Macaca fascicularis: one gene and its partner. The protein of the gene in region 1 purifies or fractionates together with the protein of each later gene. This does not show direct contact. Links are inferred from orthologs where the notes say so. Each region holds a gene or a part of one and is shown on either strand. Other genes may lie near its edges. The genes, in order: LIN7C and DLG1.

Region 1 (12,311 bases):
GCCTCAAACTCCTGGCCTCCATCCTCCTGCCTCAGCCTCCCAAGAACTGGGACTGCATACAGGTGGATGTCACTGCGGCTGGCTCAGACAGATCTTATTCAGTTGTCGTGCCAAATAAGGAAACAGGTCTAGAATGAGAATGTGATATTGTCCAGATCACACTATCACAAGGTGGCTTATCTATGATAAGTAACCAGCTCTCCTGACATTTAGTCCTGTGCTTTTCCCATAATGTCAGGCTGCTACGCTTATGGAATTTGCAACATTTTTCCCAAATGTATATGTAATGTACTATATTAGATAGGCCAAATGCATTGCCTGCTGTACTCTAGCCCTTTCTAAGGGAAAATGTTCTGTCTCCAGACTTATCAGAGACTTGGGTGAACCACTACTTCCACTGTACCAGATAGAGTTGATTGAACCAGGGGTGAGTATCTGATCATGGGTAGCAAATCCACAGACTACAGCACAATGAGATTCAAATACCAAATAAAGCAGATTTACAAATCTATTAAATGAAAATTGTCTAATCATTAAACACTGCTTTAAACCTAATAAGTCTGTGCTTTTCAAGCATTCAAATTGTGCTTATAATGAAGTTTTCTTATTCCCCTTCCCAAGAGCAAAGATTTCAAACTGAAAACATGAGGCCAATACAAATTAAAGATTTCAAAATAAAATACATCAAATATTATCTTTAGTATTGTGATTGCTATTTATTAATTTTCATTTTTATTAAAATGTCTTTTTAAAAATGCAAACAGCATTACAGGGTTTATACTTAAAAAAAGTAAAAGTTGCTGAATATGTTGTATGCAGCTGATCCACCTTCTATATATTTCCTTTATTACATGGCTTTTTAGGTTTTTTTGGAGTTAATAATTGCTTTATTTCCTCCCATTTGCTTAGTTTTCTATGTGTCTATCACCACTTTATTCCCAAACTCTCCACTAAAATGCAGAAATGTGTTATCAATATGCTCACCCACATTGGTGAACTGCACATTTCTTTTTTTTCTTGGCAACACCTCACCTCCACTTCTGCCCTGCCCTGTGAATGGATTGCTCTCTTTGCCAGCTGCATGTCTGCTACCCTAGGCTTCCCTTCACAGTTGTGGTGGATTAATTTTACGTGTCAACTTGACTGGGCTAAGTGATGCTCAGATAGCTGGTAAAACATTATTTCTGAGTGTGTCACGAAGTTTCTAGAGCAGATTAGCATTTTAATCAGTAAACTGAGTAAAGATCACTCTCATTAATGTGAATAGACAACATCCAATCCACTGAGGGCCTGAATAGAGCAAAAAGACAGAGGAAGGGCATATTTGCCCTTTCTGTTTGAGCTCAGATATCCTTCTTCTGCCCTTGTGACTCCAGTGTTCTCAGTTCTCAGGCCTTCAGACTCAGACTTTAGTACTTACACCAGAGGCCCCTCTGGTTCTCAGGCCTTGGTTCTTCATGCTTGGACTGGAACTAAAGCATCTTTTCTGGGTCTCCCACTTGAAGACAGCAAATTATGGGATTTCTTGGCTTCTGTAGCCTCCTGAGCCAATCCCTCATAATAAATCGTTTCTATATACCTAAATATATTCTATTGGTTCTGTTTCTGTGAGGCACCCTGATACAGTAATCATTCTGAAATCACCTTGATATCCTCTATATTTCTATATTGGATCCTCTTTTTATTGTACTACATACACCTTTATTGGCCAACTTTTTTTTTTTTTTTTTTTTTTGAGACAGATTCTTGCTTTGTTGCCCAGGCTGGAGTGCAGTGGTGCAATCTCAGCTCACTGCACCTCCTGGATTCAAGTGATTCTCCTGCCTCAGCCTCCTGAAGGGCTGGGATTACCACCCCTGGCTACTTTTTGTATTTTTAGTAGAGATGGGGTTTCACAGTGTTGGCCAGGCTGGTTTCAAACTCCTGACCTCAAGTGATCCACCTGTCTCAGCCACCCAAAGTGCTGGGATTACAGGCATAAGCCACCGCCCCTGGCCAGTTAACTTTTTTTCTTAAAGATGGAGTTTCACTCTGTCACCCAGGCTGGAGTGCAGTGGCACAATCATAGCTCACTGCAGCCTCAAACTCCTGGGCTCAAGTGATTCTCCCACCTCAGCCTCCTGAGTAGTTTGAACTACAGGTGTGAGCTACTGTACTTGGCTTGGCTCACTTCCTACTATTGATGGAGCATATTTTCTAATAGCTCTTGAGAAAGTATGTATGGAAGGTTAACATTTTTTAGAACTTACATGTGTAAAATATTTTTCATTATTCCTTCACGCCTGATTGATACTCTGGTTGGTGTTATGGGGTGAACTGTATCTCTTCCCCTCAAAAAAAAATTAAAGTTCTAACTCCCAGAACCTCAAATGTTACTATATATGGAAATGAGGTCACTGATGATGCAACTAATTTAGGGTATGGTCATACTGAAATAGGAAGTTCTTATAAGATTTCCAGCTGACGACAGATACACCTATTTATACGGATTTACATACGATAATGACAACAGAGACTGAAGCAATGCAGTTGCAGGCCAAGGAACACAAAAGCCTGCCAGCAAACTACCAGAAAGTGAGGAAGAGACAAGGAAGGAATCCTCTACACTTTCAGAGAGCACATGACATCTTGACTTCTGACTTCTAGCCTCCAGAAGTGTGAGACAGTGAATATCTATTGTTTTAAGTCACCCAGTTTGCTTTATCTTGTTATGGCAGCCCTAGAAACCTAATACAGTTGGGTATAGAAATCTAGTTTGCAAATATTTTTTTCTAAAAATTTAATTGCTCTCTGTGCCTCAGCTTCCAGTACTGCTGAGGAGAAGTACAATCTTGTTCTGATTTCCAGTCCTTAGAATATAACTTTTATCCTCTCTGGAAACTTCTAGGATCTTCTACCTATTCCTGGGATTCTGAAATTCTATGATGATTACATGTGTTAATCATCCACCCGGGTGCAGTGGCTCACGCCTGTAATCCCAGCACTTTGGGAAACCAAGGTGGGCGAATCACTTGAGGACAGAAGTTTGAGGCCAGCTGGCCAAACATGGTGAAATTCCGTCTCTACTAAAGATACAAAAATTAGCAGGGTGTGGTAGTAGGTGCCTGTAATCCTAGCTACTCGGATGGCTGAGGCACAAGAATCACTCGAACCCAGGAGGCAGAGGCTGCAGTGAGTTGAGACTGCGTCACTGCATTCCAGCCTGGGTGACAGAGCGAGATTCCATCTGAAGAAGAAGAAAGAAGAAGAAGGAGAAGGAGAAGGAAGAAAGAAGAAGAAACAAATTACCAGACAGGGAAAGGAAAAGAGCCAAAAAAATCCACAATCCCAGTTCATAAGAACAGTCCTGTTCCTACCAAAGTAGAAAAACCACATAATTCACATTGGGTATGGGGTAAGGAACTTTGAAGGGTACTGTCTTAGTAGTGGTATACAATTAGCCCTACATAAATGACTGAATTGGTTCCACCTAACAACAACAACAAAAAAATCAGACCCCAAAAGAACAAAATTGTTTTTCAAGTAAGTGAATTTTACAAAGTCTACCATTTTGTTTAAAAAAAAAAAAAAAGTGTCCAGGCATGCAAGAAGAAGGAAATTATGAACGGTAATGAAGAGAAAAATCAATCAATACAAACTGTGCCAGAAATAGTGTAGATCATAGAATTAGTAGACAAGGACATTAAAACTGTCATTATAATTGTATTCTATGTGTTTAAGAAGCTACAGAAAAGATTGAGCATGTTAAAATATAAAAGATGTAAAACACACACCCACACCCAAATCAAACTGGTAGAAGCAACAACTACAATGTTTTATATGAAGAATGAACTGGACAGGATTTCAATATTAGATATTGAAAAAAGATTAATGAACATGAAAACCTAGCAATTATCCAAAAGGAAACATAAAGAAAACCTTGAAAAAAAGAAGAGCATCATTGAGCTGTGAGACAATGCCAGTTAGCTCAATATACATGTATACTATGTACATGCACACGACTCCAATAGTCACCAGTGGAGAGGAGCAAGAGAATGCAAAGAAAAAATATTTGAAGAAATAAGAGCAATGTTTGCATTTGTCTTGCTCTACCTGGTATTCCTATCAAGGCACCTGGTACATATTAGGTGCTTAATAAACATTTCTTGAACACATTTGCAGCAGGAAAAAAAGACAACAATGAGTAAGAGATAAGCACCTGAGTGTTACTGCAGGGTATTTAGGCCATCAGAGGACAAAAAAGTGGAACAATATGGAGAAAGGCTTGGTAGAAGTGGCATGTCTTCAGCAGGGACCCATGAAATGGGTTCAACTGAGTGTCTACAAAGTTTGGAGAACAGGAGGGGATGAAGAAGGGCATTCCACACAAGAACAACATAAATGAAGATTTGGGGCCCGGCACAGTGGCCCACACCTGTAATCCCAGCACTTTGGGAGGCCAAAGCAGGAAGACTGCTTGAGCTCAGGAGTTTGAGCCTGGGCAACATAGCAAGACCCCCCATCTCTACTAAAAATTTAAAAATTTGCCAGGCATGGTGGTGCTTGCCTGAAGTCCTCACTACTGGCAAGGCTGAGACAGGAGGCTCTCTTGAGCTGTGATCGCACCACTGCACTCCAGTCTGGACAACAGAAAGAAACTCTGTCTCTAAACAAACAAAAAGACTTGAAACCAGGAATAAATATGGTTGAAACTATCCCACCCGGACTGAAGTGGTGGTTGCACTTAGCGGTAATAAGAAATGAACTTAGCTGGATGAGTTAGGGTCAGAGTATGCAAGGCTTTAGAAATAAGAAACAGGAGAGAACTATTGAAAGTTTCTGAACAGATCTTGTGATGATGAAATCAGAATTCAAGGGGAGAAAAAAGAAGCATAGTGATGGCAGATATCCGTGATGGATTTGGAGAAGAAAATACTAAAGGTGAATGGAAAGGGTGGACCAGCGGCAACCAGGTTATTAAAACAGTCGCATCATGAAGTGTTGAAATACTGGATGTAAACACACCTACCACAGTATCAGTACAGACTAAGGGCTTGGATAAATGTTAGTCAAATCCAAATACTAAAATTCTTCTTGGTTCGCGAAAATTTCAGGAGTGGCTCAAAGAATCTGTAATGCATTAAGAATACTATTTGCTTCACAATATTTAATTTACTTAAGATTTCATAAGAATCAGCTGCTTATAAAATTGTTACTTTGTGGTGCACCAAAGCACCTTGTTCTCTCCCTCACCCAGATATGTTATCATGCTGTTTGTACTTTCCACCCTTAAACAGATTTGGAGGGAAGATTCAAGCCGTGGATTTTTAAATTTAAAGCAATGCTGTCACAAACTGAGAACTGACATGTCATTACATATTTAATTGCCACCACATCCCAGAGTTTAAAAATTGAAAGGACCTAAGAGATAGGACCTCTCGTTGTACAGAGGCGGAAACTGAGACTGAGAGAGGGTAAGAGAACAGTCCCAGATCACAGAGCTGCTAATGGGCAAGGTGGGACTAGAATCCAGGCTTGACTCCTCTACGTGGAGCCAAGGGTTCGAAGCGATTCGGATAAGGGAAGCCCGAGGCAGGGAACGAGAGTCATGAAAGCAGCTCTTTCCAACCCTAGGAGGCCGGGGAACCTCGCCACCGCGGAAGGAGCGGAGCCAGGCCAACCTCAAAAGCCGCAAGTCCAGGTACCCTTACCCTGATGGCCCCGGCGACACCCTCGGCCACCCTCCTGATCTCGCGATACTAGCCGGTACTCACTTTTCCGGCTTCCTCTAGGCCCCGCCCCTCCACCTCAGCCCTTCTGTCGTCATTTCCTGTGGGTCTGTGGGCTAGGGAGAAGATGGCGGCGTTAGGGGAACCCGTGCGACTGGAGAGGGGTGAGTGCAGCCGAGGCTCGGCCGAGGTTGGTGGAAGGGTTGGGAGAGTGCTGTGTCGCTGGAGGGGAGGAGGAGTGACCCAGGCCCTGAGATCCGGAGCCAGGCTATCCCTTGTGCCGGCGCCTGAGGCCACCGTTGTTCTGTGCCTGGCTTTAGTGAGGGCGCTTACGGTATTTCAACTGTTACTCTAAGCTCTCCTCTGTTCACACGGACTGTCCCGAAGCACAGCACAACTAAACACAACCTGCCCGCTTCGCAGACACACGCCGCACACGCGCTCCCTTGGTGGGCACAGCAGAAGCAGCATTCAGAGACCCATATACCCGAAAAGCAAACGTCACACACCCGGTTCGCACAGACTACACTCAATGCCTGTACAACATGAGAACACACACGGTACAATTCAACAGAACCTCCCTTCCCCCTTGTTTACACACATACTCCTTCATTACTTTTTCCACAACATCGCTTGTATTTGGGTTGGGGTATTTGCTAGCTTTTGTGCCCCTCCTAGAAATGGAGAGGTTGCTTTAAAACAATCCTACTCACTTGGTCTTGGGAAGGAGGTTACGTAAGTAAGCAGAATAGTGGTAGATGCTAAAACGCTTGCAGGTGCAGTGTTTTTCATTTCTTGCAAACCCTACAATTGCAAACTGGTTGGCTGATTGCTTCCTAGAGCAGACTGTCAAGGAAAATAAAACCTCCTCTTCTGAGTGATTTTTTTTTAGAGAAGCCTGTGAAAATAACTGGCTATGCGCCTACCAGATTTCCAGCATTCCAGCGTTTCCAGTCCTTTTACAGATTTCCAGCATTCCACTCTGTCCCTAATCCTTTATTTCAAACAATTTCAAGCATGCTTTTCATGCACCAGCATTAGAAATCATTGATAGGAGCTGAGAAGTACAAATAAACATTTTGAGTACTTGTGGTTAAAGAAAAAAAAAAATTATAGGATGGAGACTGAAATTATATTGCACATATTAACATTTGCAGTTACAGTCTAAATACTACTATTGTTCCCTAAGAAAACACATTTTTAGAATTACTGTACTTAGAAAAACTTCTTTCCTAATGCCTTCCCACAAAGAAATGTGCACTTAATGTTGCTGATTTGCTCTTTACTGCGTTCACCATTTGGAAGTCTCACTGTAAATGAGATTCTTACCCTTAAGCCAATTAAAGCATCATTTTAGAGGACTAGCTACTCTGGGAAGACTTGCCGAGTTAGGCCTAAGTCTGTGACATCTTCCTCTTGAGCACAGTAGCACTGTTTTATGGATGGGAACAAATCTGTTTGGTGTTAACAGGAGTAGGTTTCTTCTTTGAAAGCTAGTTGTTAAGATTCTAACATATTGGTGGTCTTCTGTGTTTTTGTTGTTGCTGTTTGGAGACGTAGTCTTGCTTTGTCGCCCAGACTGGAGTGCAGTGGTGCGATCTCGGCTTACTGCAACCTCCGCCTCCGTGATCAAGCAATTATCCTGCCTCAGTCTCCCGAGTAGCTGGGACTACAGGCGCACACCACCACGCCCGGCTATTTTTTGTATTTTAGTAGAGACGGGGTTTCACCGTGTTGCCCAGGCTGGTCTCGAACTCCTGAGCTCAGGCAGTTCGCCCGCCTCGGCCTCCCAAAGTGCTAGGATTATAGGCGTGAGGCACTGCGCCCGACCAGTCTTTGTATTTTTAAATGCAACACAAAATGTGGAACTTCTGTGGCATTTAGTTTTGATAGTCATGGCTTTGTTTTTTGCTGTTAACAGACTTCTTTTCCATTCTTCAGTAGAAGGCTTAGCCCCTTAGGATGAATTACAGTTAGCCCTCTATATGCATGGGTTCCACGTTTCAGCCAACTGCAGATTGAAAATACTCAGAGAAAAAAATCGTGTCTGTATAGAACATGTACATTTTTTTCTTGTCCTTATTCCCTAAACAATGTGATATAACAACTATTTACATAGCATCAGATATTGTAAGTAATCTAGAGATTATTTAAAGTATGGAGGGGGGATATGCATAAGGTTATATGCAAATACTACATCATTTTATATCGGAGACTTGAACATCTGCAGATCTTGATATCTGTGGTATCTGAAGAAGGTCCTAACGAATTCCCCACAGTTACTGAGACAGCTGTACTAGTCGTTGCCATTTAGCAGGGTAAGAAAGTCAGATTACATCACCTCTGATTCTTGTTTACAATTCTAACATACTCTATTAACAAACACTCCCAACAATCTTACAGCAGAAAATCCTACAGTACAATTACAATACAGCACCTGATCACATATGATTTAGAGTGCCTTCTAAATCATCAAACTATGATCTAATGAAACACAAATTTGAGCACATGTTAGCTACATTTTAGATTTAGTCAAAAGCATTTTATTTTTTTCCGTTTTTTTTTTCTTCATTGGAAATTTTTATATGACTTACATATTATAACTTTATAAATCAAAATAATTGATGAACCAACAGTCCCCATTTATCAGTCATTCTGGTGATGGGAAATCAGAATGGTGAAGGTCTATTTGCTTCCATTGCATTTGATTAACTTTTTAAGTTTAAGCTTTCTTTACCACAAATTTAAAAATTTGTTTTCTGGCCAGGCGCAGTGGCTCATGCCTATAATCCCAGCAGTTTGGGAGGCCGAGGCGAGCAGATCAATTGAGGTCAGGAGTTCGAGACTAGCCTGGCCAACATGGTGAAACCCTGTCTCTACTGAAAATACAAAAATTAAGTGGGCGTGGTGGCGGGTACCTGTAGTCCCAGCTACTCGGGAGACTGAGGCACAAGAATCACTTGAACCCTGGAGGCGGAGGTAGCAGTGAGCCAAGATCATACCACTGCACTCCAGCCTCAGCAATAGAGGGAGACTCCGTCTCAAATAAATAAATAAATAAATTATCTTTCAGCCGGGCTTGATGGCTCACGCCTGTAATCCCAGCACTTCGGGAGGCCAAGGTGGGTGGATCACGAGGTCTGGAGGTCGAGACCAGCCTGACCAACAGGGTGAAACCCCGTCTCTACTAAAAATACAAAAATTAGCCAAGCGTGGTGGTGGACCCCTGTAATCCCAGCTACTCAGTAGGCTGAGGCAAGAGACTCTCTTGAACCTGGGAGGCAGAGGTTGCAGTGAGTGGAGATTGCGCGACTGCACTCCAGCCTGGGTGACAGAGTGAGACTCCCTCTCAAATAAATAAATAAATAAATAAATATCTTTCTTTACTGCATTTATTCATAGTTTTCTATCTGCAAACACGAAGAAGGCCATACTATATAAAGAAAAATTTCTAGTCCTTGAGTATAACATGAAATCAGAAACATCTTCTACTTAAGTCAAAAGGAAGCAAAGCAGTAATGGAATACTGGGCACTATAGTACCTGGGGTACAGAAACTGTACAAAAACAGTTTTTGGGAAAAAAAAAAAAGTAGAGATAACAGTATTATAGCTGACCTCCTGAATCTTCTAAAAATGTCTCAATTCATAACATTTATCCTCGCACTTCTCAATGGGAATCCCCTAACATGCTTCATACATTTCTAAAAATGTATACAACCTCTTAGGCTTTTTTTGGTTTGGTTGGTATTTATTTTTTTTTTTGGAAATGGAGTTTCACTCTTTTCACCCAGACTGGAGTGCAGTGGCACAATCTCAGCTCACTGCAACCTCTGCCTCCCGGGATCAAGGGCTTTCTCCTGCCTCGGTCTCCCAAGTAGTTGGGATTACAGGCACCTGCCACCATGCTTGGCTAATTTTTGTTTTTTTTGGTTTTTTTGTTTTTATTAGAGATGGGGTTTCACCATGTTGGCCAGGCTGGTCTTGAACTCCTGACCTCAGGTGATCCACCCACCTCGGCTTCCCAAAGTGCTGGGATTACAAGCATAAGCCACTATGCCCAGCCAGTATTTCTTATGATTAATTGGTACCAGTGTAACATAACATTTTTGCTTGCTGAGCCCTTTTTTATGTATTGTGTGGTTCAGTCGTTAACTGAACTCATAACTCTTCCTCGTAACCCTTATATGGAAGGTACTGTTATTTCCATTTTACAGTGAAAGAAACTGGGACATAAGGAAGTCATGTAACTTGCCCACGGTCACAAAGCTAATTGTTTTTATTTTTCTCTTTCATAAACATAAGTGTTTGAGCTTGTTTGAATTAACAATGTTAATTAAGGTGAAAAAAAATCAGTTTAGTTCATTTGTACTGCTTGTTTTTGCATTTTTACGGTTGTTTTAAATGTGTCCCTGCCACTCACTGCATCTGCTCTTTAATGGTTATCTACCTGTGTATCATGTTTCTTTCAAGAAATGATCAGTGATTTTACTAGCTTATAGTGCCTTGTACCGTTCAGTGCTTTGGTTACTAATAATGATAATTTGGTAAATTTTTGTTGACTAGTTTCTGACAATATTGCTAGCTTTTCTGAAGCAGTACAATGTTCATGTAATGGTCACGTTTGAGTCGCAGTCCTTTCTGATGACATTTGGTATTTTGTGTTCAATTTGCCTGTGTTTCTCCGAGGTCTTACTTTATGCTTCTGTAATCTCAGTAGTTTTTCCTATCTACTGTAAAATTTAGTGTTCTTACATTTTACATTCTCACCCTTCATGTGTGTACACACGCACAGTCTCCTCCCCACCAAACACATGTGCAAATTCAATGCTTTTTTCCCCACTCTTGTCTGTATATTATTAGCCCTTGAAGAATGAATCCTAAGTGCTACACTGTTACATAGGCATTGAGAAAACCCTTCGAGAAAATTATCTGTGTGTTTAACTCTAGATATTTGTAGAGCAATTGAATTATTGGAAAAACTACAAAGGAGTGGAGAAGTACCACCACAGAAACTTCAGGCTTTGCAAAGAGTCCTTCAAAGTGAGTTCTGCAATGCTGTGAGAGAGGTGAGTAAACATCTTTAAAATTTACTAAAAATTTGAGTTAATTAGGTCAGATAATACTCTAAATTTGCGTTCAAAATTTCTTAAGAAAAACTTCAGAAAACGTTAAAACCAATCCCTTTCATTTTTGGAATTTCTGATAGAAAAAACATAAAGATGCATAACTTTGCCTGAAATTTTAACTTCACAGAGAACTCAAGCATGGTATATTCTGAGATATAACTTTGGCTTTTACAGGTATATGAACATGTCTATGAGACTGTGGACATCAGTAGCAGTCCCGAAGTGAGAGCAAACGCTACTGCAAAGGTAAATTTTTTTGTTTACCAAAAGTGAGAATTCTTCATAAATTAGAAGTTTAAAATATGCAATTATTAAATTCGTAATAAACTTACTTTGAAGACTAACATGTATCTTTCAAGCTACACCAAATTTCTCAAGTACTAAGAAGACATTTGTTTCTACTGGCTTTACATAAATGGTCCATGATAAATAGCTTTACATAAGCTATGTTATGCAGTTTAGATAATGCAATAGAAATGTACTTACTTGCATACAATATCGTGCAATATATAATTGTGTTGTATATGTTACATATATGATACTATATAATATTCATTATACAAAATCTAATCATAATTTTAAGATATGAATTACTATCTTCATCTTATTGATGAGGAAGCGTGAGGTTATTTGCCCCAAACCACACAAATAGCATATGATAGAGCTGTGGTACTACCCCGAGCTGATTTGTGCTTTCTTCTTTACATTATCTGCATTTCTGTGCCATTGTTTTCCGCAAATAATTTAGGTATTGACCTCACTATTCATGATAGGTGGTTTGAACAGGATAATACCAGCAGTCGGTGACTTAAATTAATCATCAGCAGATAATTGTTTATGGATAGTTACCGGCTTTCAGAAGGAAATGGTGGATTCTTTGTTGAATACAAATGCTTAAACACGTGGATGTAGTTTGTCAGTGTAGAAAAGACCAGAGAAACATGGTTTTAATTGCTGAGTTGTGTGACTTTGATAGCCTACTGAATTTCTGAGCCTTAGATAACGGGTATTCAGTAAATCTTGATTTCTTCAAAGATAACGAGTGTTCAGTAAATCTTGATGTCTTTGAAGATAACGGGTATTCAGTAAATCTTGATTTCTTTCTTCCTTCCCATTTTTGTGATCCATCACAAAAAAAAGGTACTAGACAATTACCCTTAAAAGCAAAGTGAAACAAAATCTCAACTTTATAATTAGTTTAGATTAGTCTAAATTTGAGCTTTAAATAAGATATGGCTCTGTTTCATCTTCTATGGGGATTTTTAGTTGTGACTAGTTAACTAAAGCAACAAAAACATTCAGATTGGCTATATGTACCTCTCTTTTTCTCATTATTGAGTTATTTCTTGACATCTTAGATATTTAGTATATGGTACAAATAGTGTAGAAGCCAAAATGATTACATATAGGGACAACCGCATGTTGATTACATAGGTAGGTCGTGTCCTGCACAGAGGCTCCTGAAGGAGTTGGGCA
Region 2 (12,311 bases), on another chromosome or scaffold:
AAGAAAGAACTTCCTGTGTTTGTCCATTGGTTGAATTTTCATCCATTGACTGTACTTGCCCACTGGGTACACAGAATAAGCCTGTTTGACGACTGAAGCTCCCTGGAGACTTCTCTTTTTCCAATGAAATGTCCCTAGATTCTACAACTGTTTCCTATTGCTGTGGTTACTCTCTCCTTTCCAGTTGCTGGTTTGTTTAGATTCCTTTAAAAGTGTGCTGCTAAGCAATGCCCCCTAGGCTATCATGGAGGTCTGACCAATATGGCCACTTTCGTCATACTTGACACTGTTCCTCTTCTTGCAGCCTAAGCTGGCATAAGCTTTTTTTTTGACAGCATTAAATCCTTTCCTTTTAGTGATTGCCTTGGCACAGGCAGCATGCTGCTACTCTGCTGGAGTGAAAGCAAAAGATGCAGTAGAGTCTGGCGGGACCTGGGCACCTTTATAGACTTATAGGCTGGGGCCTGGATGGAGGAGAAGACAAAAACAGAGATGTGAAGCTGCAAAGGTGGCTTGGGCAGGATGTCTGGGAAGCAAAGGGCTGGAACTTAGAGACAGTATCTTTGACATTGACTGGCTAACATTTCATAAAAGAATGGGAAATCTGAGCCTTTCCCTGTGGTCATTTGACTCCTAAGCCTTTTAAACTCTTCAAAAGGCAAGTTAACTTGGAGCTGGAAAGTGAACAGCTTTACCCGCTAGTATTTTGTTGAAGTAACTTCTTCTATTCATCTATCGATCTATCGATAGACAAACAGAGAGGATAAATAGATAGATAGATGGATAGATAGATAGATATAGTGTGTGTGTGTGTGTATATATATATATATATATATATTTAATGAGGAAGTTGGAAAATTAGATCCAATATTGTGTCCTATTCAATGGCAGCTGCTCACTGCACAAAGTAAGGCTTTGAGGAAATAAAAGTTGCTTAGAAAAATCCAGACGTTGAGGCCGGGTGTGGTGGCTCACGCCTGTAATCCCAGCCTTTGGGAGGCCAAGGCAGGTGGATCACGAGGTCAGGAGTTTGAGACCAGCCTGGTCAACATGGTGAAACCCCATTCCTACTAAAATACAAAACATTAGCCAGGCGTGGTGATGGGCGCCTGCAATTCCAGCTACTCGGGAGGCTGAGGTAGGAGAACTGTTTGAACCCGGGAGGCAGAGGTTGCAGTGAGTCGAGATGATGCCACTGCACTCCAGCCTGGCAACAGAGTGAGACTCCATCTAAAAAAAAAAAAAAAAAAAAAAGAAAAGAAAAATCCAGATGTCATTGCTTTGTACATTGTGATGATGTGGTAGCCAGCTCAAAGAAGATGGCCTCCAGTGAGTCTTACTTTCTGGTAATCATATCCTTGAGGCTGATCTAAGTAACTGATAGGATATTATGGAAATGATGGAGTGTGCTATGGTCTGAATGTTTCTGTCCTTCTTAAATTAATATGTTTAAATCTTCACCTTCAAAGTGATCATATTAAGAGATGAGGCCTTTGGGAAGTGATTAGGTCTTGAAAGTGGAGCTCTTCTAAATGGGATTAGAGCCTTTATAAAAGATGCCTGATAGAGCTTGTTAGTCCCTTACACCATGGGAAGATGCAGCAAGAAAGCTCCATTCATGAGGAATGAGGCTCTTACCAGACACTGAATCTCTTGGTGTTTGTTTGTTTTTTTTTTTTAGACAGAGTCTTGCTCTGTTGCCCAGGCTGGAGTGCAGTGGCATGATCTCGGCTCACTGCAACCTCCGCCTCCCGGGTTCGAGCAATTCTCTGCCTCATCCTCCTGAATAGCTGATTATAGGCACCTGCCACCATGCCTGGCTAATTTTTTTTATTTTTAGAAGAGACGGGGTTTCATGATCTTGGCCAGGCTGGTCTTGAACTCCTGACCTCATGATCCACCCACCTCGACCTCCCAAAGTGCTGGGATTATAGGCATGAGCCACCACACCTGGCCAGTTTTTTCTTTTTTTAAAAATTTTTATTCTCATTACTGTTAGATCACATCTGATGGTGTTTTGATCTTGGACTTCTTAGCCTCTAGAACTGTGAGTAATACATTTCTGTCGTTTATAAATCACCCAGTCTAAGGTATTTTGTTATAGCAGCCCAAACAGACTATGACAGAGTGTCACTTTTGAGACTAAGTGATGAAAGGCACTGTGGCTTATTCTGTCTTGCCCTGTTGAATCACTTGGTCTGTTGGACGTCAGCCACTATGTCATGAAGACACTCAAGCAGCCCTATAGAAAGGTCTTCATGGTGAGAAACTGAAGCCTCCTCCCAATAGCCAGCATCCGCTTACTAGCTGTGTGAATGATCCATGTTGAAAGAGCCTCCCTTAGTCCCACTGAAGCTTTCAGATGACTGCAGCCCTGGTAGGTTTCTTGACTGCAACATCATAACGCCCTGAGCCAGAACCACCCAACTATGCTGCTCCTGAATTCCTGACATGCAGAAACTGAGATACTATTTATCGCTGTTTAAGTTACTAAGCGAATACGTTTTAAACTCTTAAGGTTTGAGGAATTTTTTAATCCAGCAATAAGTAACTAATAAAGATGGGTAGAAAAGAGGAATGAAGAGTAAAGAACCTTCATTCATTGCTCATATATGTTCATTTGCTAGGCACTTGCTACCGGCACCTTAGGTCAGCGGGTAGAACAAGTGCTAGGTTCACTGCTGCTTTTCGACACTGCTGACAACCAAACAGGGCTGTCGCACAGAATGACAAGAAAAAGGACATGTCCTCTTTCCTCCTCTTCCTCCTTTTTGCTTTTAGGGGAAGGCTAGGATGACATTGAGAACTCACACAAATTTTGTTTTTGACTCCTCAGTGTCCCCTGGGAAGACATGCATTGGCCTTTGTGCACTTGCTACGAGGCTGTGTATCCTTGAGAGCAGGACTTGGATCTTATTTATTTCTATCCCCGTTTCCTAGCAAGTGAACATATATGAACAATAAATGTCATCAAGGGAGAGGGCAAATTTCCCTCCCTCTTTCTCCTGAATTCTGAAGTGATTCCATTCTTAGAACGGTTTCTTATTGCAACCATTCCATTCACAGTCCATCAACGAAGTCTTGAGAGTATCATGCATGCCATGAGCCATTTTCACTATTAAACAACTTCCATCCCTCTGTTAAGTTCCTGGCTTTTAGGACACCCCTGCTTTCAGGACTGTTTGACCCTTCTATCCCATCTTCTCTATGCAATGTTGCTTTAACTGTTGTTCAAGATCCCAGGATGCTTGATCCGGGAAAGCACAGAGGTCTGCTGCCAACATACCAACATACCTCTCTGTCAAGTTGTCCAAAATCACAATAGAAAGAGCCCTGACTAGAGCTAGGAGACCTAAGTTCTGGGCTGCTCTGTTACGGATTAGCTTCTACGTCCTTGGACAAGTTGCTTCCCTTTTCTGGACCTCCGTTCCTTGTCCTAGATAGGTTCTAAAGTCGGTGGGTCCTTACAATAAGTTAGGATTCTAAGGTGCAATCCAAAATTCAACCAGTGGTCAGTATACCTGCGAGTAGCTTTAAGGTTACAATACGAGGTTCCTCGGCCTTCCCTTTAGTGGCCAATGGATACGGCCTCAGAGGCCGTCAGGCTTACTGGGAAGAGCCTTCCGGCTTTGAAAGACAGGATCTCCGGGTTTCCAGTTCTGTCACTCACTCGGGGTAACTTTGGGCAAGTTCTCTCTGGAACTCCGAATAGGGAGGTCCTTGTCACCCAGAGGAGGTTCGAAGACCTGGGCAGTGACTTGGAGAGCTTCCCGAGACTCCCCTTCTATAACCTGGGTGGCTCAGCCCGGGAGCGGGGTCCCAGCTGGCCCGTGGTTCCGCTCACAGGTGCGCTCGAAACTTAAACCTGCAGCGCTGGCCGAGGGCGGCTCAGCTTCGGAGGGCGCGACTCCAGGTGAGTTCTTAAAGGGACCGTCAGCGTTTGGGTAACACCTGCGATGCTGACCGGGCTGGGACGCAGGCTTGGGGGAATGAATGAATGAATGAATGAACGAATGAATGAACAAACCTTCTCTCCCCACCCTGAAGTATACCATACTTGGAATTTATCACTTAGGCTTAAAAATCTTGTAGTATAACCCTCAAACTCTTGCCACATTACCCAGTGTCTCTATTTTACATGTCCTTCTTTAATGAACCCCCTCCCGCCAAGCCTATTACTAAGGGACGAATAGGAACTTAACAAGCAGCCTGGAGTGGAAGGCAATGCAGAGTTGGCACCCCTCCCCGAACTCCTCCCTCTCCCTCTCCCAGGCCCCGCCCTCCCCGCCCCCTGGGAGGTGCAGTTGGCTCCTCCTTAAGGCGGCTTTTCCCCGATGGGATCTACCCCTGGGGTCGCCAGGCGCTCTCTCCGCAGCGGAGTTGGAAACGGCACGTGTTGAATGAGGTTAAGGGGTGTCTCGGAATGTGCGCCTTGGCTCTGGTGTAGGCGAGGTCACGCCTCTCTTCAGACAGCCCGAGCCTTCCCGGCCTGGCGCGTTTAGCTCGGAACTGCGGGACACGCCGGTGGGCTCGGGCAAGGTAAAGGCGGGCTCCTCCAGGGCCACCCCGGGCCACCTGTGGAGTCCGCGTGTTAACTCCTTTGTTCTCAGAGCCACTTCAGCGGCCGCCCTTTTAAGCGAGGGGGTTCCCTCAGGATGCTCCCCGTGTCCCCCTTCCGTTCCCCAGCCCTCTCCCGACCCGCCTCCCCCTTCCAACCCGAAGGTAGCAGCGCGGGGAGCCCGGGGCTCGGCGCGAGCCGCCTCCTCACTTCCCATTGGCTGAGAGCGCCGGGAAGGCGGTCACGTGGGAGCGCGGCAGGCCAGCTCGGGGGCCGCCATCTTGGCGGAAAGTTTAGGGGGAGAGCGGTTGGGGGCGCGGAAGGAGGCGAGGTTCCGGGGGTGGGGCGGGCAGGCGGCAACAGGGCGAGCGGGCCGGTGGGCCGCGGCGAGCGGGGAGGCGGCGCGACCTAGAAGGAGGAAGAGGCCGCGGGGGTGCGGCGGCCCAAGGGAGCTCCTCCCCCGTCCCTTCACCCCCTCCGCTCGGCTCCTCGGGCCCCGGGCGGGGCGGGGGTACGTGGAGCGGGGCCGGGCCGGGGAGCTGCTCCGAGTCTGGCCGGAGCGCACCCCAGTTCCGAGCGCACGCCGCTCGCGGGAACTTTGTGGCGGCGCCGCAGGTGTGGGGGCCCGCGGAGGTGTGCATGCGGGGCGCGAGGGCGTCGCGGAGAGCGGCCGCTGCCCTGTCCGGCCCCCGCTGGAGCAGCCCGGAGGCAGCGAGCAAGGAGAAAGGCAAGCGGAGGAGGGGGCCCGGGCAGGGCGGGCGGCCAGTCCCGCCGGTCCCCTCTCAGCGCTCTGCGGCCGCTGCTGGCTCAGGGGCCAAGGGTCGGAGCGCTTCACCGGCCCGTCCCCAGTAGCAGGTGGGGAGCGTGGATACTTGTGCCGGGGGAAGAGGCGGCCTCAGGTCTACGCTCTTTGGGGAGGGGGACGCTTTCGAGGAGAGTTTGAACACCGACTTCTCTCTGTTCTTAATTTGGAGGGGTACCCACTCCAGGGAGAAGCTTTCCACATTGACAGACAACTGCTGCGTTTTGAGACTCTTTCTTTGACTTGGTAAAACTTTGGAACGTGGGGTTTTCCAATAGGGCTGCGAGGGTTTTCTATTTCGATAGGGGGAAATGCTAGTTTAACATGATTCTATCCTTTTTCCTTTCTGTTGTGTGTTTTTAAAGGTGTGTGCCCTCTTCCTGATTCTGGAGAAAAATGCCGGTCCGGAAGCAAGGTGAGAGTTTATTCCATAACTCTGTTGATGTCACTTGGCTTTTCCGTATGTCAGTTTTTTGATTGGTGTTTTAGAATAGTTTGTGTAACTTTGATGAGACAGCACGGTCCTAGCTTTATTGGTTAGGGGATGTAAGTCTCACATCATTTCAGAAGATGGAAACAGGAAAATGTTTGTTAAACTTTCTTAACATTTCTCTGGTGATTAAGAGAGGCAATTAACACCCCCCCCCTCCACAGATGTCCTTAAAAACTCTGCATTGGTGTTTTAGTATTTCACTTCATCATTCTTACTAAGCACTATTCTGTGGGCAACCGTGGGATACTAAGAATTTGTATTTTGAAATGTTAAAAATTTGGATTTTAATGACAAAATGTAGATTATCTGCTTTTGCATATCAGGTAATCTGAAACTGTTGCTAATACTTTGATCTTTTACTTTGGCAAACTAACAGTACATATTTATTCCAAACTGCTCACTCTCCTCCGTTTTCTAATGTGATATATGTTTAAATTTTTCTTGTCTTTAATTTTTTTTTATTTTTTGGTCATTCTAAGGAATATGTGTACATGAACATAGTGACATCAGTTGACCTGAAGGATTTGGGGAACTGTTTAGGTGTCATGCAGAATTATTTGCACTAGTGTGTGATACTTTTTTTGTAAATAGAGAGTTTTAATCAGGCTCTGCTTTTTCTTCTCAGATACCCAGAGAGCATTGCACCTTTTGGAAGAATATCGTTCAAAACTAAGCCAAACTGAAGACAGACAGCTCAGAAGTTCCATAGAACGGGTTATTAACATATTTCAGAGCAACCTCTTTCAGGCTTTAATAGGTGGGAATTAAAACTTTGTAACTATTATGCCAGCTAGGCTTTATGCTCCTCTTGATTCAGTTATTTTAAACTTAAGAAAATGATGTACTTAATTCTCTATGAGGCGTTCGGTAACTTGAACATCTTCAGTGCGTGTGTGTTTTTCATAGGCCAGGATCCTTTCCTAAAATACCTAGTAACCAAAAAACTTTCAGTATCATTTCAGTGGCTTTTGAGAACATTGCTTCACAGCTTAATAGCATTAACTGTTAAAAGATGTTGCAAAAATGTTTCAGGACCTAAAAGGTATGACTGAGTTACTGTTAGCTTGCTTCTGTATTTGACTTGTATGTCTCTGAAGTCATTGAAAGTGTGTGAAGGATTCTGCTGTGTGTAAGAACATTCAGTCCCTTAATATAGACTTCTGTTTAAACTTGGCATTCATGGAATCAGAATTTTAGACCTGGAAAATGATCTTAGAGGTGATCTTGTCTAATAATCGTATTTTACAGGCAAGAAAATGGAAAGTTTTATTCTTAATTGTAACTTAATTTGAAGTGGTGCATTGTTTGAAAGGAGAATTGGACAAATAAGAGTCTTGAGTTCTTTTGCCACTAATTCAGTGACATTATAAAAGTCATTTAATCTTTTCTACGCCACCATATTAGCTGTAGAATGTAGCTGGAATGGCAAAATGGGTTTAAAGCCTTTTTTAAGTGGATAAATCATTTTTAAAAGCATCATCTAATATTTTGTGTGTAATCTCCCATGTATGAAACAAGGTGACTTATCTGGCTCTTTTGTCCAGGTACCTAAAAAAGCTTGCAAACTACTGAACTAGAAAGTTTGTCTCTTCCAATTCCAAGAATGAAGTTTTGTTTTTTTTTTTTAGTTATCGACTATATAGCATTTTAACGTAAGGAGACATATACTTAATTGTATTACATTTATTTTTTCAGTAACTTCCAGGCAGATATGGCCTTACATCTGTCTGTTGATAGAGTAATTGTTGGTGTGATTTGAAGACTACCTTCAAGTCAGTGTGTCCTGTCAAATACATTATTGGTAAACGGATGCTCTCTACTGTTTTAGAATGAAAGATTTTCGTAAAGACCACTTTATGCACCTGAACAATTTTTAAAAATTTAACATTTTTAGTAGACTTTTAAAAACGTAAGAATACAGAGCACAGTGTAATGAACTGCCTTTTAACTGTTACCTAGTTCCCGAAGTTATTAACATTTTGCCAGTTTTGTCTACATTGATGGACATTTTTTACACATTTGAATTTCTGAGGTTCAGGGTCAAAATGGATGATCAAATTGTATTCCTCTGGAAAAACAGCAAAAAGCATTTTTTAGTTATTTGTTTTCTGAATCAACACTGAGCCTAGTAATTCGGTGCGGTTACTGTTGCGGAAAAACATACATGTGTTTATATACAGTGTGTATATATATATATAGAGAGAGAGATGGATAGATAGATATGGATAGATAGATAGACTCCAGACTTTGTGTGAAGGCAACAACTTAAGATAATTAAATCGTTAGTGAAATAACAGAATCTACATTTATATTTCTGTCTAGATTGGGGATGGGTTTGCTATATTCAAAGACATTTTTGACCTATTCTGCCTTGCCTGTTTTGAATGTGTGTATTCTTATGATAGAGTTTTTTGTTTTCTTTTTTTTGAAATGAGTCTCGCTCTGTTGCCCAGGCAGTAGTGCAGTGGCGCAATCTCTGTTCTCTGCAGGCTCCACCTCCTGGGTTCCCGCCATTCTCCTGCCTCAGCCTCCCGAGTAGCTGGGACCACAGGCGCCCACCACCACGTCTGGCTAATTTTTTTTTTTTTTTTTGTATTTTTAGTAGAGATGGGGTTTCACGGTGTTAGCCAGGATGGTCTCGATCTGACCTCGTGATCCACCTGCCTCGGCCTCCCAAAGTGCTGGGATTATAGGCGTGAGCCACTGCATCTAGCCTAAAATTAGCTTTCTAATTATTAAGTTTATATTTGTGAATCTTCTGCACAATTTCATTGGTTGTGAATTTACTTTGACATTAAGATTTACTTATATTTAATGTTTTATAGGATGTGGTACTATATCAGATTTTGGTGTAAGAAAAGTAATATATTTTAGGAGGTTTGAAATAGATACATTTTAATAGAGGTTCTGTGTGTTTCCATTCTATAATTCATTGTTGATACTACTGAATTATAAATGCATTCTCTCGTGTTTCCTGAATAGCTTTTAATACTTAGTCTGAAAATGTTTAGTCTGGTAAGATTTTCTTTGTATTTTGCAACTCTACCATTGTTTTAAAAGTGTCATAAATGTACTGTAAGTTTGTAAATTGCCCTAAGCTAAACCAGTTCATCGTGTCCATAATGTTTGCAGAAAAATCCTACTCAGAAGACAGAGTGCCACTTACTGAAAGGTGTTTTCTCTCAGTAAGTGGCACTCTGTCTTCTGAGTTGGTACCTGTGGACCATTGGATTAAAGGAGAACAGGGGTCTTGACAGCCTGAGCTGTTTGAAAGTCAGTTAGTGCTTAGAGTTTTGACTTCCTTGGTTTGGAAGTCACTTGATTAGGCCGTAGTAAGTTACCTAGTTATCTGTTTGGGATGCCGAGTGTCTTTGAATTTGCAATCTGCATTGATCATTTATTGATTGATTCTTTGAACTGGTAGTTTATATTGACTTTTCATTCATTTTAAAAAGTTTGAGTGAGTCTCTAGGGGTTTTGGTGTTTTCCCCTGTAGTTCATATATAGATTAGGTTCCTGTACTTTTGGATTATTCAGAGGGACAAGGATGTACATACTGTATTATATTTGTTCTAAAATACCAATTTTTTAATATTTCAATATCTGGTATATGTCATTTTTAATTGACAGTGTTTTTTGTGTTCTGACACATGAAATAGTGCATTTTATAATTGATACTTGCAATTTAAATATAGAAATCATTGTTCTAGTGTTGATACATTCTTGGTAGTATCTTTGAAGGATGGCTTAAAGATTTAAAAATTATTGAAAACAGAAGTTTTTATTAACTTTTGAGTTTCAGCTGATATATTGTTTCTTTAGAGCTGAATATTTAAAGTTATATCTTAACAAAAGTCCATGAACTGCACATTTGTTTAAAATGTACTCCCAAAACATACCTGCTGATTATTTTTGTACAAAGGAAGATAAAGTCTGCTTAATTTCATTCTGTGATTTAGGTGAGACCAATTTGAAAATTTGCTTTTGTATTCCAATTTTTTGTACTTAAGTTTGAAAATTTTGTGAGTAGACAGGGTATGGTTTGATTATAATCAGAGCCCAGGTGTTCAGGTCCATAGTGGTTTCATTTCATTCATGATTCTAAGGTGTCTGGGATCTGAGGTGACACTGGTAGTCCCTAGAGACTTCGTACCAGTCTAAACCCCTGCAGTTATTTCTTACGGGATCAGAGAACTCATCTGCTTTCCTTGTGCACGAGAAAAATCAGTGTCCAAGATTAGGCTGGCTTTAGAGACTTGAGTAAGTTGCGTCATGTGATTTGCATATTTTGTCTGCAATAAAAAAGCTTATATTAACACAGTGTTTCTGCAGATTCTTCAGAATGAAAGTGGATTATGTAATAATACTGTCCATTTATGAGTTTTTTAGTTACCAGTTCATTTGTTGCTATTAAACTCTAATAGTTTCATTAGCCCTTATAAAAGGACCTTGCCCTATCTTTATTTGTGGATACTGGGTTTCAAAATATGACCCCTTTACCATCTTAACCATCTTGAAATGTACAGTTCAGGAGCATGAAATGTATTCATGTTGTTGTGAAACAAGTCTTCAGAACTTTTTCGTCTTGCAAAACTGAAATCCTGTACCGATTAAACAACTGCTCCCCTTTCCTCTCACTTCCTAGCCCCTTGTGGCCACCATGCTACTTTCTGTTTCAGTGAATTTGATCATGTTAGAGACCTCATAGAAGTATTTGTCTTTTTGCGACTGGCTTATTTCACTTAGTGTAGAGTTGGCAAGGTTCATTCATGTTGCAGCTGTTGACAGGATTTTCTTCGTTTTTGAGGCTGAATAATATTCCGTTGTGTGTATATACCGCGTTTTATCTAGCCATCCATTGACAGCTGTTGACAGGATTTTCTTCCTTTTTGAGGTTGAATGATATTCCGTCGTGTGTATATACCACATATTATCCAGCCATCCATTCATTGATGGACAGTTGGGTTACCTTCTCCTCCTGGCTGTTGTGAATAATGCTGTTAGGAATATGAGTGTGCAATTATTTCTTCAAGACCCTGCTTTCAGTTCTTTTGGATATTTGCCCAGAAGTAGGATTGTGGGATCATATGGCAGTTATATTTTTAATTATTTGAGGACCCGCCATAATGTTTTCCATAGTGATTGTACCATTTTACAATCTCACCAGCAGTACACAGGTTTCCAGTTTCTCCACATCCTTGCCAATACTTCATTTTTTTTCTTTTCTTTTTTTGATAATAGCTATCCTAATAAGTGTGAGTATGTGACTCCTCTTCAAGTGTATGTAAAACATAATAACTTTTATTGAGCACTTTCTGTGTGCTAATAGAAGTATATCATTTAGTCATTGTAATCCTATGAGGTGTACATTCACCTGTTTGAGGTGTTTGTACTGTTTTATAGATTGGAAAACTGAAGCACTGAGAAATGACCAATCTTGCCCTTGGACCCTCAGATAGTAAATTGTGGAGCCAGAAATTGAACTCAACTAATCTGAATCCATAGATACTTCTCACCGTCAACCATTAGGATCTTCTTTATCATTGTTTTTCAGAACCAAGCGTTTTAATCTGATAAAGAATACTAAATGACAAGCATGTTTAAGACAGATAGTGATCTTTAGGGTTAGTAGTCTTTAAATGATTGTCACTCGGAAGGAAAATATTTATAATGGTGAAATGATGTTGATGATGGAGTTCACACGTTTTGAAAGAAGTGTGTTTAGTAATGAGGGTTTGAGGTCTTCCAATCAATATTTCTTAGATTTCTTTTGCTTTGTTTTGGTCCCACTGTTACATTTTAGTCTCTTGCTAACTCTGTGTGTGTGTGTGTGTGTGTGTGTGTAACTTTGCAGACTAGATTTGAGTAAGGAAAACAGGATATGGATCACATCGTTGGCTAAAACTTTATGAGATTGAAGGAGAATTTTATTAACTTTTCACTTGATTTTGATTTAATTAGATTGAGTTATTTCTTTGCTGATAGTTTGCTTACTATTATTCTGAAGCAGTGTTTTGATTATGTTGAATCTGGTTGAATTCTCTTTAGAACCTTGGAATCAGTTGTAAAAGCATCTAAATATTTCTTCTAAGCCGTTTCCTCTCTGTAGGGTCATATTTTTCCTCAGTACAGAATTCAGACTTGGACCAGATACTGTTGTTAATTGTCATGTCTCTTTACTCTGCTTAGGGCACATTATCACGGCCTTTCTCTTTCGTGAGACTGACTGTTTTTTTTTTTGTTTTTTGGAGACAGGGTCTCGCTCTGCCACCCAGGCTGGAGTGCAGTGGTGGCTCTCTGCAACCTCTGCTTCCCAGGCTCAAGCCGTCCTCCTGCCTCAGCCTCCTGAGTAGATGGGACTGCAGATGTGAGCCACCATGCCTGGCTAATTTTTTGTAGAGACGGGTGTTGCCCAGGCTGGTCTTGAACTTCTGAGCTCAAAGCAATCTGCCTGCCTC

Evidence for each region.
Region 2: the proteins of LIN7C (region 1) and DLG1 purify together in Homo sapiens (affinity purification with mass spectrometry; 4 studies listed by BioGRID and IntAct, counting the BioPlex papers as one, with this or other methods). This does not show direct contact. The link is inferred for Macaca fascicularis from reciprocal best matches to the Homo sapiens genes LIN7C and DLG1.

The regions. Positions count from the first base shown.
Region 1 is NC_088388.1:38,079,239-38,091,549, forward strand, and holds the start of LIN7C (protein lin-7 homolog C), read left to right. Parts: upstream 1-5,811; 5' UTR 5,812-5,835; coding exon 5,836-5,872; intron 5,873-10,656; coding exon 10,657-10,775; intron 10,776-11,009; coding exon 11,010-11,081; intron 11,082-12,311. UniProt on the Homo sapiens protein: Plays a role in establishing and maintaining the asymmetric distribution of channels and receptors at the plasma membrane of polarized cells.
Region 2 is NC_088376.1:2,751,533-2,763,843, reverse strand, and holds the start of DLG1 (disks large homolog 1), read left to right. Parts: upstream 1-4,322; 5' UTR 4,323-4,389; exon of another isoform or gene 4,390-4,539; intron 4,540-4,841; exon of another isoform or gene 4,842-5,413; intron 5,414-5,469; exon of another isoform or gene 5,470-5,606; intron 5,607-5,725; 5' UTR 5,726-5,756; coding exon 5,757-5,775; intron 5,776-6,478; coding exon 6,479-6,610; intron 6,611-12,311. UniProt on the Homo sapiens protein: Essential multidomain scaffolding protein required for normal development. Recruits channels, receptors and signaling molecules to discrete plasma membrane domains in polarized cells.